Linked DNA regions of Pelodiscus sinensis. The protein of the gene in region 2 interacts with the protein of the main gene of each other region in a pairwise test. Links are inferred from orthologs where the notes say so. Each region holds a gene or a part of one and is shown on either strand. Other genes may lie near its edges.

What was found.
Region 1: the proteins of GOPC (region 2) and VTN interact in binary tests that used the Homo sapiens proteins (3 or more experiments, as listed by UniProt). The two-hybrid records come from large-scale screens. The link is inferred for Pelodiscus sinensis from reciprocal best matches to the Homo sapiens genes GOPC and VTN.

What each region holds. Positions count from the first base shown.
Region 1 is NC_134731.1:378,144-385,473, reverse strand, and holds the start of VTN (vitronectin), read right to left. Parts: upstream 3,012-7,330; 5' UTR 2,945-3,011; coding exon 2,884-2,944; intron 2,451-2,883; coding exon 2,304-2,450; intron 702-2,303; coding exon 420-701; intron 1-419. UniProt on the Homo sapiens protein: Vitronectin is a cell adhesion and spreading factor found in serum and tissues. Vitronectin interact with glycosaminoglycans and proteoglycans. Is recognized by certain members of the integrin family and serves as a cell-to-substrate adhesion molecule.
Region 2 is NC_134713.1:84,050,391-84,058,001, forward strand, and holds the start of GOPC (Golgi-associated PDZ and coiled-coil motif-containing protein), read right to left. Parts: upstream 3,016-7,611; 5' UTR 2,689-3,015; coding exon 2,395-2,688; intron 1-2,394.

The sequences.
Region 1 (7,330 bases), on a different chromosome or scaffold from region 2:
CGGGGGAGGGGGGGCGGTAGTGCCCACACAACCCCCCCCAGCACCACCGAACCCCCTTCCCTCTGCTTTGGGTCCAGCTGCCTCTCCCTGCCCTGTCTGCAGTGTGAAAGGGGCTAGCGGCAGGGGCTCCACTCCAAACCTGGCCTCATCGTGCCCACGACAGCCACAGCAAAGCACATGACCCAGGCATGGGTCTGCCTGTGTGGGGCACTCAGGCTCCAAGGCCAATCAGTCCTGGCTGTCAAAGGCCCAGCTGGTGTCAGCTGTGATGGCGGGGACCCCTGCGAACTGGGCTGAGACCCACCTGCCTCCCAGAATCTGGCCGAGCAGCGACCTGAGATGGATGCAGCCCTGGGCCATGCTCTGACCCAGCCTCCCCACCCCCCCAGTGCCCATGGGCAGCCCTCGCCAGCTGCTACCTCGGAACGCGTAGAGAGAACCGTTCTTCAGGTCGGTGAATGCATCGAAGGGCTGCCCGCTACACAGCACCTCCTCCACCACCTCCTCCTGCTCCCCCAGCACGCTGGGGACCAGCAGAGGGGCATCGCTGTCAGGCACCGTGACCGAATCCGTGGTGGCCACACTGACTAGCTCTGGGGCTGTGGCTGTGGGCCCAGTCTCTGTGGTTTCGCTCCAGGAAGTGTTGGTGGCGTAGTCCACGTAGTCGTCCTCGGGAAACGCGAACATGTCCCCGCGGGTCACTGTGCAGGGCAAGAGAGGGTCAGGGCCCTGGGGGTGCTGCAGCCTGCCCCTGTGCCGGGCACTGCCTGGCTGGGGACCAGCCCTGCCGGGAGACTGCTCCCATTCAGCGTGGGATGAAGGGTCCTTCGTACGTCCCCCATCCTCTGAATCAGGCTCGGCTCCGGGGCCCTTCTGCCCTTTGGAACTCGCAAGGGCCCCTTAGTGAAGGGAGCTCAGCAAACGGCTGCCGCACGTGCGACGCTGGCCAGACCCTGAAGAACCGGCACTCGCTGACCCCAGGCACGTCCTCACAGCGGGGATCGTGTGGCAGAGATGGGGCGTAGCGGGGAACAGGACGTAGCGGGGAACGTGTGGCAGAGATGGGACATAGTGAGGATCGTCTGCCAGAGACAGGGTGTAGCAGAGATCGTGTGGCAGAGACGTGGCATAGCGGGGATCGTGCGGCAGAGATGGGACATAGCTGGGATCGTGTTGCTGAGATGGGATGCAGCGGAGATCGTGTCTCTCAGCTGGGACATAGCGGGGATTGTGTGGCAGAGACAGGGCGTAGCGGGATCGTGTGGCAGAGACGGAGTAGCGGGGATCGTGTCTCTGAGACAGGGCGTAGCGGGGATCGTGTCTCTGAGACAGGGCGTAGCGGGGATCGTGTGGCAGAGACAGGGCGTAGCGGGGATCGTGTAGCGGGGATCGTGTAGCGGGGATCGTGTGGCTGAGACGGGACGTAGCAGGGATCGTGTGGCTGAGACGGGACTTAGCGGGGATCGTGTCTCTGAGACAGGGCGTAGCGGGGGTCATGTAGCGGGGCTCGTGTCTCTGAGACAGGGCGTAGGGGGGATCGTGTAGCGGGGATCATGTTGCCGTGTTGCTTTGTGTGGTTCCTGCTGTTCTGGGCAGGGCAGCACTGTCTGGAGGAGGGGGTGACTCACTGTAGAAGTGTATTACACCTCTAAAACCAGAGGGTTAGGCAGGGGAGATAACAATTTCTGCCCAGGAAGGGAGACAAAGGGTAGGCTGGGCTGACACCAGGCTGGGGACGAGGGCCTGGGGGAAGGGGCAGTCTTGGTGGGGCTAGGATCTGAGACGGGGCTTAGGGCAGGAAAGGGGGAGCAAGGGCCCGGGACCCCTTTCCCCCAAGAGGAATAAGGCCGCCTGCTCTGGGTCTCTGTGTTAACATCGATCCTGTGTTTCGCTGTGTCCCTGGGACCCAATAACCCTTCTGTTCTGCTTGCCGGCTGAGTGTCACGTCTGGCTGCGGATGGGGATGCAGGGCCTGGTGACTCCCCCAAACCCTGTACCCAGTCCGGCACCTTTCTGCTACCAGCCAGGCAACAGGGCTTGACTTGTGTCCAATTTTCCCTCTAATGTTTTCTCCCCATGTGCGGAATACATTTTATGTGCACCAAGGCACCTGACGATGTGCACCAACAGTAGAAACAGCTGCTGCCAGCTGTGTGCACTGTGGATGTGCTGCAAATCAGCTGGGCAGCACCTGTATCTCTCCGGGGCTGCCGCCCTAGTGCCAGCTCACAGGGAACCTTGCTTGTGCCTGTTCCCTGGTGCGGGGTGGGGGCTAGGCCTGGGGGTCTGCAGGGGACAGGTACCTTTTGGCTTGCAGGCGCTGACATAGTCACTGCAGCAGCTCTGGTAGTAGGTGCAGAGGGCGTCGCACTGGCACTTCCTCTGGGCATCGAAGCCGTCCTCGCAGTGGCCGACGCATGACTCTGAAAGGGCAGTGAGCACAGCGACCCCTCCACACCAGAAATGAGCCAAGGCGCCAGCAGCCCCGACTGCTAGTGCTGGCTGCATGCTGGTGCAAAGAGGCCAGGGCCGTTTTCAGCCCTCGCCCAGGCGCCCAGCCCCTCGGCCTCCCCGCTCGTCAGTGTGCTTCTCTGAAGATGAGGGGGGCTGACTGCTAGCACCCCCTCCCCCAGGGCCTGTGATGGGTGACCAATGCAGGTCTGTGGGGGCAGCAGCCGGCTGCTACTGGAGAGATTCTGCCGAGCCACCGCAGCCAGAACCCCAGCAGGGAACTCACCTGCTGCTTTCTCCCGGGCCCCTTGCCCCCCAAAGCCCAGCAGATCTAGCCACTGTCTCCCTACGCTAGCTGCAAGTGGGAGTTAGGGACACCCTGAACTGAAGCATCCAGCAGGGCGTCCAGCAGCGGGATGAGCAGAGACTCACCTTCAGCTGCCAAAGCCCCACGGAGCAAACCCAGCAGCAGTGCTGGGACCAGCAGCCTCATGGTGCACGGCGGGGAGAGCTGACCTGGTCTGGCTGCTTGGGCAGGCTGAGGCTCTGCAGCCTCCCGTCCCAGGAACTCACTGTTTGCTCAGCCTGCCCCAGTGCAGGGAGAAAACAAACAGAAGGTCAGAGATCAACAGAGCAAGAGGTGACTGACCCCCCAGCTTCCCCCTCCCCCACTGGAGGCCTTCTGGGACCCTGCTCTGGGGGCCTGTCTATAGCTGGTGTAACCCACATCGTCTGGGTGTGCTGTCTCTTGCCGTGGCACCTAGCCCACGTACAGAGCGAGAGACTGAGTCTGCTTTGCAGCCTCCCCTGAGCCTCAGCTGGCTTGTAGCTCAAGTGGGAAGTTGCTGGAGGCCCAGGTTTGGCTCTGCCGGTGTGTGCTAGGCATGGACTAACACAAGCTCTGTGCACAAAGCTGCTGGCAGCTTCAATCGTGCCAGCTCGAACCAGGCTTGAAACCTGCTGCTTGGCATGGCCCTTGGAGCCTTCTTCCAAACAGCTGCCGCCCCACAAAAAGGAGCTGCTAGCGAGCCTCTGCCTTGGCTCCCAGCTGGGCGGGAGGCGAGAGTTGTTCCAGACTTTGAAGGCCCCAAAGGAGCACCAGCCCACCCGTCTGACCTGTGCGCCACAGGCCGCCAGCCCCACCCAGCACCATGCACCACCCAACCGCCCAACCCGACGGAACTATCCCAGCCCAGGGACGGTCAAACGTTCGCCTCAGTTCCCACCGGTGTTACCGACGTGTGTGTGGCCACTATGAGACCCAGCTCCGGGGGAAGGCTTTGTGAGACTCGCCGCTTCCCTTTCGGAGCCAGGAACTGTCTAGCGCGCTGGGCAGGTTTCAAACTGGGACCCAAGTGACCCCCCAGGTCAGACGGCAAATGGCTGGAACTACGCGTTGGTGATGTCTGAGCCTCTCTCATGATTTGGGAGCACCTGACCCGAGCCCATTTTACTTTTGGGGGGGGCACCCCCTCCGGCAGCACCCTAGAGTGGTGAGGGGGCTGAAGCCAGAGGGCCAGTGAGTGTGAACCCCCTTCCCCCCCGCTCACTTTCTCTGCACTCGGCGTTCACTGGCTACACAGGGCTCTGTGTATTCTGCTCCCAGAATTCCTTTCATCAGGTCCTGTCATTACTAATTAACACAAAAATGGCTCTTCCTCCTGGCGGCTGATAACTCCCAGCCAGGGGGCAAGGAGCAAAGCACATGGGCTCCAGGGTCCACCTGGACTCAGTCTGTACACACTGCCCAGGCCCGGCCTGAGCGGGGACAGCGTCCCATTGCAAAGCTAGGCCCAGCTGGGCTCAGTCTGTACACATTGCCCAGGCACGGCCAGAGTGGGGCCTGCGTCCCATTGCAAAGCTAGGCCCAGCTGGGCTCAGTCTGTACACACTGCCCAGGCCCGGCCTGAGTGGGGCCCACGTCCCATTGCAAAGCTAGGCCCAGCTGGGCTCAGTCTGTACACACTGCCCAGGCACGGCCAGAGTGGGGCCTGCGTCCCATTGCAAAGCTAGGCCCAGCTGGGCTCAGTCTGTACACACTGCCCAGGCCCGGCCTGAGTGGGGCCTGTGTCCCATTGCAAAGCTAGGCCCAGCTGGGCTCAGTCTGTACACACTGCCCAGGCCCGGCCTGAGCGGGGGCAGCGTCCCATTGCAAAGCTAGGCCCAGCTGGGCTCAGTCTGTACACACTGCCCAGGCCCGGCCTGAGCGGGGACAGCGTCCCATTGCAAAGCTGGGCTCAGTCTGTACACACTGCCCAGGCCCGGCCTGAGTGGGGCCTGTGTCCCACTGCAAAGCTAGGCCCAGCTGGGCTCAGTCTGTACACACTGCCCAGGCCCGGCCTGAGCGGGGGCAGCATCCCATTGCAAAGCTAGGCCCAGCTGGGCTCAGTCTGTACACACTGCCCAGGCCCGGCCTGAGCGGGGACAGCGTCCCATTGCAAAGCTAGGCCCAGCTGGGCTCAGTCTGTACACACTGCCCAGGCACGGCCTGAGTGGGGGGGGCCTGTGTCCCATTGCAAAGCTAGGCCCAGCTGGACTCAGTCTGTACACACTGCCCAGGCCCGGCCTGAGCGGGGGCAGCGTCCCATTGCAAAGCTAGGCCCAGCTGGGCTCAGTCTGTACACACTGCCCAGGCACGGCCAGAGTGGGGCCTGCGTCCCATTGCAAAGCTAGGCCCAGCTGGGCTCAGTCTGTACACACTGCCCAGGCCCGGCCTGAGTGGGGCCTGTGTCCCATTGCAAAGCTAGGCCCAGCTGGGCTCAGTCTGTACACACTGCCCAGGCCCGGCCTGAGTGGGGCCCACGTCCCATTGCAAAGCTAGGCCCAGCTGGGCTCACTCTGTACACACTGCCCAGGCCCAGCCTGAGCAGGGGCAGCGTCCCATTGCAAAGCTAGGCCCAGCTGGGCTCAGTCTGTACACACTGCCCAGGCACGGCCTGAGCGGGGACAGCGTCCCATTGCAAAGCTAGGACCAGCTGGGCTCAGTCTGTACACACTGCCCAGGCCCGGCCTGAGTGGGGCCTGTGTCCCATTGCAAAGCTAGGCCCAGCTGGGCTCAGTCTGTACACACTGCCCAGGCCCGGCCTGAGTGGGGCCCACGTCCCATTGCAAAGCTAGGCCCAGCTGGGCTCAGTCTGTACACACTGCCCAGGCCCAGCCTGAGCAGGGGCAGCGTCCCATTGCAAAGCTAGGCCCAGCTGGGCTCAGTCTGTACACACTGCCCAGGCACGGCCTGAGCGGGGACAGCGTCCCATTGCAAAGCTAGGCCCAGCTGGGCTCAGTCTGTACACACTGCCCAGGCCCGGCCTGAGTGGGGCCTGTGTCCCATTGCAAAGCTAGGCCCAGCTGGGCTCAGTCTGTACACACTGCCCAGGCCCGGCCTGAGTGGGGCCTGCGTCCCATTGCAAAGCTAGGCCCAGCTGGGCTCAGTCTGTACACACTGCCCAGGCCCGGCCTGAGCGGGGGCAGCGTCCCATTGCAAAGCTAGGCCCAGCTGGGCTCAGTCTGTACACACTGCCCAGGCACGGCCAGAGTGGGGCCTGTGTCCCATTGCAAAGCTAGGCCCAGCTGGGCTCAGTCTGTACACACTGCCCAGGCACGGCCAGAGTGGGGCCTGTGTCCCATTGCAAAGCTAGGCCCAGCTGGGCTCAGTCTGTACACACTGCCCAGGCCCGGCCAGAGTGGGGCCTGTGTCCCATTGCAAAGCTAGGCCCAGCTGGGCTCAGTCTGTACACACTGCCCAGGCACGGCCTGAGCGGGGGCAGCGTCCCATTGCAAAGCTAGGCCCAGCCGGGCTCAGTCTGTACACACTGCCCAGGCACGGCCAGAGTGGGGCCTGTGTCCCATTGCAAAGCTAGGCCCAGCTGGGCTCAGTCTGTACACACTGCCCAGGCCCGGCCTGAGTGGGGGCAGCATCCCATTGCAAAGCTAGGCCCAGCTGGGCTCAGTCTGTACACACTGCCCAGGCACGGCCTGAGTGGGGCCTGTGTCCCATTGCAAAGCTAGGCCCAGCTGGGCTCAGTCTGTACACACTGCCCAGGCCCGGCCTGAGCGGGGACAGCGTCCCATTGCAAAGCTAGGCCCAGCTGGGCTCAGTCTGTACACACTGCCCAGGCACGGCCAGAGTGGGGCCTGCGTCCCATTGCAAAGCTAGGCCCAGCTGGGCTCAGTCTGTACACACTGCCCAGGCCCGGCCTGAGTGGGGCCTGTGTCCCATTGCAAAGCTAGGCCCAGCTGGGCTCAGTCTGTACACATTGCCCAGGCCCGGCCTGAGTGGGGGCAGCATCCCATTGCAAAGCTGGGCTCAGCTGGGCTCAGTCTGTACACACTGCCCAGGCACGGCCTGAGTGGGGCCTGTGTCCCATTGCAAAGCTAGGCCCAGCTGGGCTCAGTCTGTACACACTGCCCAGGCCCGGCCTGAGTGGGGCCTGCGTCCCATTGCAAAGCTAGGCCCAGCTGGGCTCAGTCTGTACACATTGCCCAGGCCCGGCCTGAGTGGGGGCAGCATCCCATTGCAAAGCTGGGCTCAGCTGGGCTCAGTCTGTACACACTGCCCAGGCACGGCCAGAGTGGGGCCTGTGTCCCATTGCAAAGCGAGGCCCAGCTGGGCTCAGTCTGTACACACTGCCCAGGCCCGGCCTGAGCGGTGGCAGCATCCCATTGCAAAGCTAGTCCCGCTGCTCTGCTCACGTGTGTGTGGGGGAGGAGAGGCTGCGCGGGGCTTGGGGAGAGCTGCCTGTGTGCGCTGCCAGCTGCCCCGGCCGGAGCCCTGTTTGTCAGCCTCAAGCCTCAGCACCCCTCCTGCAGGCTGGGAGCCAGGGACATGTTTACCCGAGAGCGCCAGGCCCTGCGCTAGGGAGGCAGCCAGCAGGTGATTGCT
Region 2 (7,611 bases):
CTTCCAGAACATGCTATCCATGCTGATTTAGTCTATGGCACCACTATATTGTGGCTATATGCATTAGATTTATCAAGCAGGAGACTTGCCTTATCTAATGTACAGCAACACGCATACACATAATACAACAAACAGCAGTCTGGAAAGAACTTCCATGAACTATAAGGAAGTCAACTTTGTTCACTATAAACTAACAGGCCGTGGGAGAGAGGACAATCCTTACCTACAGACAACCCCCCCAACCTGAAGCAAATCCTTTACGGCATCTACACATCACACCTCAGATACACTCACCTGGGAACCTACCCCTGCAACAAACCCCGTTGCCAACTCCATCCCCATATCTATTCAAGCAACAGCATTATAGGACCTAACCACATAAGCCACAACATCAGAGGCTCATACAACTGCACATCTTCTAAAGTGATATATGCCATCAAGTGTCCCATTGCCATCTATAGTAGCCAAATGAGAATAAATGGACACACATCAGAAATGGTAACACACATAAACCTGTAGGGGAACATTTTAACCTGCCTGGTCACTCAATTATGGATTTAAAAGTAGCCATTTTTCTACAAAGGATTATCACTAACCAATTACAAAGAGAGTCTGCAAAACTGGAATTTATCTACAGATTTGATACAATTACTCTGGACTTACACAAAACAAAGACATAACTAGTTGGCATATTACAAAGCCAATTTCTCCTGCCATTAACAACTGACAGGTACGTCTGTTGCTATACATAGCTCTTGATTGAAGAGTTCATCCAATGAAGTGGGTTTTGCCCAAAAAAGCTCATGATTCTATTAGGGATGTCAATGTAGAACGTGGCACCAGAGGTATGTGTATCAGAGGCACCAACGGGGGAAAGGGCGGAAGGGAGGAGCCGGTGCCTGTAGGTAGACAGCTTTAAGCTGACTCCCCACGGTCACTGGATCCAACTGCCCCTCAACCTGATAGAGAGGCAGCAGCATGAAAGGCAGGAAGCAGCCAGCTCTCTGAGTGTGCTGGCTCTGTGGACCAGCCTGTCCACTCCTCCACTGCCTCTTACTGCGGGTCTGGGCTCACCGTGGACAGAAGCTGCTCCAAAGCAGCAGCCCCTGTCTGCGGCGAGCTCAGGCACCACATGGACAGGGGCTGATGCCACACTGCCCTGTTGCCTCTCAATCAGAGGCAGCAGCACAAGATGGCAGGGAGTGCCTGGCTGCCAGCCCCGCCCCCAGAGACTATCGAATAGTTGAGCAACCATGCCCTCCTCCTTTCCCCAGTGTGCCATGGCTGGCGAGGCTGGAGCCATGCCACATACCCTACGCCCTCCTTCTTCTTCTGGTGCTCCAGGGCTGGAGAGGTGAGGTTGGGCTGGGCTGCATGGCACGCTCGCCTCCGGAGCTGGTGAAGCCAGGGCCATACCGTGTACTCGGTCTCCTGCCTGGGGCTGGAAAGGCTGGGGTGAGCGCATTCCTGCCCTTCCCTCCCCCTGATTGGGAGGGGGGAGCACAAATGGGGCCTCAGCAGAAGGGGTGGGGCTCGATGTGAGGATGGGAGCTTGTCTCCCCCAGCCCTGCCTTCACCAACACCCCATGCTAACACTGATACCCCTCAGAGATGATCTACTGAACTTGTACTCTACTTTTAAATATTCTCTAATCTTAGCTACTGCATTACTAATACTCAAAAGACATTTTGCAGACCCATGTCTTGCTACCCAGAAGAAGTGGGATTAAAATCATGGGCAAAATGTTTTCTTCCTACAGTCAGCTATTTCTGCAACAGACCAGCTCTAGCTAGTTTAATAGCTCGGGGTGACTATATAAATGGCAATTTTAGTTACTTCTGAATCATAGAGCAATGAGAGAACCACAGTTGGTGACCTAACAACCCAACCAGGTTCTTACACTGCACATCACCATATCTGAGTTCAGAGAATTTTTAAAGCATGCTCTTCCCTGCTTCTTTCACTAGGTAAGAGTGCTTTCTTGGTTATGGATTTTTTAACTTGATCATCTGATTAGGTGATGTTTTGATTTGTGAAAAAATATTCTAATTAAGAAGTTGTGTGTTTTTGTACTGGTCATTCATTAGTCCGGCCCATAGCTGCCATGGGAAGCCAAGCTATGACTGAGGAGAGGAAAAGGTGCCCCAGCTAGCTAGAGCCAAGTGCAGAGAAGACAGTGGACAGAACAGACACCCTGAATCCCAGCCTGCCCCATGGGAGACTAAGGCAGCAATCAGGGCACTGGGGAAAATCCCCACCCCGCGTCGGTCAAGCCCTTTGCTTCCCAGTTCCCCCAATAACTCAGCACTCGGCTACCCAGCCCCACCCCCCGCGTGCCCCTTCAAACCTCCTCCCCCGTCTGGCCACTTTCAGGTCCCCCCCCCCGCCCTCACCTCCAGCTTGTGGTTGATCTGGGACACGGTCTGCGCCTTGTGGCAGAGCTGGGCGAAGCAGGAGCTGAGGCTGGTCATTTTCTGCCGCCCCTCGTAGGTGATGTCCGCCTGGTCGGGGTCGATCTCCCCCAGCAGCAGGTCCACGTCCACGAAGGCCTTATCGAACTCCTTCTCCAGCACCTCCAGCCAGCGGAACATCGACACCCCCCCGCCCGGGGAGGAGACGGCGGCGGCGGCCCCTCCGGCACAGGCCCCGGAGCCCGAGGCGCAGGAAGCGGCCCCCACGCCGGACATGTTGACGCCCCTCGCGGCCTTGCGAGGCACCCGCTGGGCGCGCGCCCCTCCGCCTCAACGCCCGCGCGGCTCTCGCTCTCACTTTCACACACCTGCGCGCGCCCGCCTCAACGCCCGCAGGATGCGGCGGCACTAGCCTCCGCTTGGCTCTGGTGAGAGGAGCACCACGACCCCACGGCGCATGCGCTGGAATGCTGACAGAGTCTGGTTGCGAAGCGGCGCTCTGTCGCCGGACGGGGCTCGTCGATTGACTTGTGCTGCCTGCCACAACTGAGACCGCACCTCAGGGAGCCTGGCCGAACGCCACGCCATCGATCCCAGCGCCAAATGTGACAACTCACACTTTGCGCAGGCGCCGCCTGCTGCAGCGGCCCGGGAGGCGGGACGGGTCTGGGCTGTTGCAGTTCCCTGCGCGCTGCAGAGCCGTCGCCAGGGGGCGCTTCGCCCTCCCCTCCCTTCCCCAGTCTCCAGATCTGCTCCCGTAGCAGCTATTGGCGCACTAGTGGTCAGATTTGGCTCATCTCAGTTTCTGCTACCCATGCACGTCTCACTGGTCCGGGGGCAGCAAAGCCAGACAGTTGGCTGGGGGTTCAGCCTTTACCACCTGTGCACCCATCACTGGTACAGAGCCTCTGGCAGAAGGAGTAGGACTGTGGGTTTGTGCCCCCAGCTAGCCCATCCCATGCCACCCAGGGCACTAGCAGTGATTTGCAGGGCCCAGGGCTCTTTTAAATCACTGGGCCCTGGGGCAGCTGCCCTTCCTCTCTTCAGAAGCAGAGGGGGAAAGAGAGACAGGGAGACACTCAAATAGAGTATCTTATTTCAATGCTATTTCAAAATAGCATATTTTGTCATCAGCACCAAATTTCAAAATCAAGTGCTATTCCAAACTGTCCCTTACTCCTCGTAGAATGAGATTTACAGGGTTATCGGAATAGCAAACCCAAAATAATGGGCTTGCTGTGGAGACGCAGGATAGCTATTGTGGGATACGTTGCAGTGTAGATGTAGCCTCATTTTGCTTCACTTCACTCATGCTTGACAAGTGGGAGGAGGGGCCAAGGCTCAGTGCTTCCCACCAGGGCTGGATTAACTATTCTGGGAACCTGGGGCTTGTAGATTTTGTGGGTCTCCCTTCGGTTCTGAGGTGGGGCCAACAATAAGTTGGTGTGGAGTGCAGGCAGAATGTAGAGTGCTGTAGTGGGCTGAGGTTGCAGGGTCTGGGAGTGTAGGAGAGGGGCGAGATCTGGGGTATAGGCGTGGGGTGGGAGTGCAGGGTCTGGGAGGGGTGAGGAGTGGGAGAGGGGGATAAAGGTGCATGTTCTGGGTAGGTGGGGGCAACTATCTAGCACAGCTCAGGGAAGGGGGATGCAGGTGGCTCTACATGGCTCCCCGCTTGCAGGCAACTGCCCCCCCATGCTCCCACTGGCCGCAATTCCTGGTCAATGGGTGTGCCTGGGGTGTAGCCTGCAAGTGAACATAGGTGTGACAGGGGCTTGAGCCCCCGCACTAAGAGCAGCGCCGCTCCGGCACTCTGAGGAGCGGGCTCCGAGTCGTGCTGGGTCTGCCGTGCATGCGCGGCCACGCGCCCAGAACTGATGGGGCTTGGGACCTGGAGGAGAGGGAGAGCGGGAGAGCCAGAAGGAGCGGAGTGGAGGCTGGTTGTGTTTTCCCCAGCAGGTCACCGGAGGGATGTGGGTGAGCCGAGAGGACCCCAACCCAGAGTGCCCAGCCCTGTCCAGAGCAGAGCAGAGAGACCGGAACCCAGGAGGAGAGCCCCGCTCAGACATTGAGTGACGGGTACAACCGGAACTCTGGGACATAGACATTGGGGGAAGGGAGGCCATACAGGGAAAAGAAGCATAGAAGGGACAGAGCGGGGAATACGGCACGGGTCGGACCCTGGAGGCAGTCCCTGGACTCTGTTACAATAAGGATAGAGCTTTCCTGCGCTGCTGTTCCCAGAGCCGCATCCTCCCCCTGCCAGGCAGGCCAGATGCACCACAGGGAGGAGCTTCTGGGGCCATATTCCCTCCACCATTCAAGCCCCCAATGTGTGCCCACTTATTCATTGGTATGTGTACACTGGCATGCCCCTGAGGGCTGTCTGCTGGCAGCATGATGCAGTCCCAGTCTGTTCATTCTTTCTTCACACATAACCTTTCCGGGTCTCTAATGATTTTGTGTGGCTTGCAGATCTCTCCATGTCTGCTACATCTTTTTGGAGGTTGAGTGACTAAAAGTGAACCCAGCCAACACTGCAGGTGAGGGCAAACTCTCAAGTAGGCTGTGCCTATGAAAGCTCATGATACCATCTACATGTTTTGTTAGTCTTTAAAGTGTTACCAGACTATTTGTTGTTTTTTAAGTTTGTCTTGTTACAGACTAACACGGCTACCCCTCTGAAACTTCTCAACTTATAGAATGGCATGGAAATTAAAGTTCTCGCAGTTAACTCGAGTGATTAGTGCAAAACAAATTAGCAAGATTTTAAAAAGCAGTGGTAGATGATGCCTGAGCTATGGTGTTGGGAGCTGTGTGAAGCAAGTAAGTGGCCCCCACCTCCTCCAAGACAAGACCCCGCACCTCCAGCCCCCTCACTCATTGTCCCTCAAGCCAACATCCCGCACTCTGAGCCCCTCACCTCTTCTACGAGACCCTGAATTCCCAGCCTGCTCCTGCACCCTCCTCTCCTCTTGCACCCTGCCCCCCTGGCCAGACACCTACCCCCAGACAGGGGGAGTTGACAAGCATAATGAGCAGGAGATGCAGCCCCCTAGTAAGAGAGAACATTTGTAAAGGAGCAAAACCACCATTAAAATGGGTTACAAGGATGGGTGTGTAATTCAGGGAATCACAGCGAGAGATAAGACAAATTTGTGAACTGTTAAAAGACTTCATGTATAAACTGATGGGAGACTTTTAAATCCTCAAAATGTGTTACTCCCTCACATGCTGCATGTGGAATGTTTGCAGCATTCTATCTTCTGTGCTGTAGCAGTGCAGAGAGAGAGGCGCTGTGGAGGATAGCCAGGAAAGCCAAGGCATTAGGGCAGCTGTACCTTTAATAGCACAATCAGGAAGCTGCCCTGTGCTCCAGCACTGGTACATTTCTCCCTGAGAGGGGAAATAAAACCCCTCTCTGCTTCCCTTCGTGCCCCCCCATCCCTGCCTTTGCACACGCGGCAGATGGCTCATCCCCTTAGGTAAATGTTACCCCCTTTGTCCCTCCCTGTGTGGGGGCAAAATCCCAGCACAGGGCCTATCAGCATCTCCCCCTCCACCAGCTCCAATCACCCCCCCACACCCGATTTTTCCCTTCCAGCCCCTGTTCTGCCTCACACTAAAGTTAATTGACTCCCGAGGCTGGTTAATTTCTGTGCCCTGCCCTGCCCATCCCCCACTGCAATTGCCTCCTAACCCCCCTTTTAATGATTGTAAAAAGCCTGGAGCAGCATCTGAATCCATGTAAGGGCAGAGTGAGGACAGTAGCTCTTACTGAGCATGCTCAGTTCCAGTGCAGGTGCTCAACACCCTAGGTATTGACTTTTGAAGCTCAGCTGCTTCTCACTCTACACCAGCCCAGAGCTGTTGGTGTTGGTCAGAGGCCAGGAGGTGCTCCCAGGAGCAGCATCTCTGACCTGCACCATCTGGCCCTGCAGTGGTCAGGCTGCTGTGTGCCTGCAGCTCAGCCTCATGCTTGTGGGATGTTGGTGGCGGAGCTTGCTGCAGGGCCTTCCTATGCAGGAAAAGAGCAGCAGGGGGCACAAAGGATCCCAGCCCTCCCTTCTTTCCTTTGGTATTTGAATCCAGTCAGTCCCCTCTGGTCTTCCCACCCTGGGAACTCCAACTGGCCCTGTCTTTTCCTCCTGACCTTCTCCAGCTTTCTGCAGATCACTCCTCCACCAAGTAACCCCAGCTCCAGAAAACTAGCTGGCCCTAGCCTCCAATCCCCCCTAAACTATCCAGCCACACCTGAAACCTTGACAAATCTAGCTTCCCTTATATACCTCTCATATTGACCCCACTATCACCAATCTGCCACAGTCTCCAGACACCTCCATCTTCTACACAAACCTGGCTTTCTCCCCACACAGCACTTCCCACCTTCCCTGAAACCCTTCAGCATGCACTCATCTGTCACAGCTGACAAATTTTGTGCAGCTCCATGTTCTGTCCCTACCACTGTTTGGGGAAGAGTTCATTGACTTCAGAAGCCACAGTCATGGTCATATGTGTATTATATGTATAACTTAATTAATGAGCTATACTACATCTGTAAGTTGCATACAATGTCACACATTGAATTGCACAAGACTTGGCAGTTATGTCTGTTTTGTGTATCAGTTTCCACATCTGTAAAATCTGGTTACCTCACAGGAGGAATTAATGTTTGTCGTACCTTGAGAACCTTGGATAAATGTGCTGAAGAAGAGCAAATGCTTAGTATTGTTACAATATCATTACTGTCTGGTAATTACCAATTGCCAAGAACCAGCCAGTTCAAACACCTAATTCTGCAATCCATATTCAAACAAAAACTTGATCTCAGGAGGGAGATATTCTACAGAGTGCATACTCCATGATTAGGTTCTGATTCAAAAGGGAGAATTTTGTTTGTGGAAGGACTGAAAATCCAGTCCCAGACTTTGATATTCATGTGCTACCATCTGTTGGTGGCCAGAAGTAAAGGTATGTATTGCAACTATTTTCAGAACTGAGATTTAAGATATAGAGCAGGGATGGCCAACCCATTCCAGACGAAGAGCCACAATAGTAGTGGAGACAGCATGAAGAGCCAGGGCAAAGTTGTTGAGAGAAAGAAAAAAAAACCCCACCATGCAGACACTGTCCCACAGCTGCTTTGTTTGTTTCTTTCTTTCTTTATTTGTTAACAGCTTTTCCCCCAGTCTTCACAGCCCT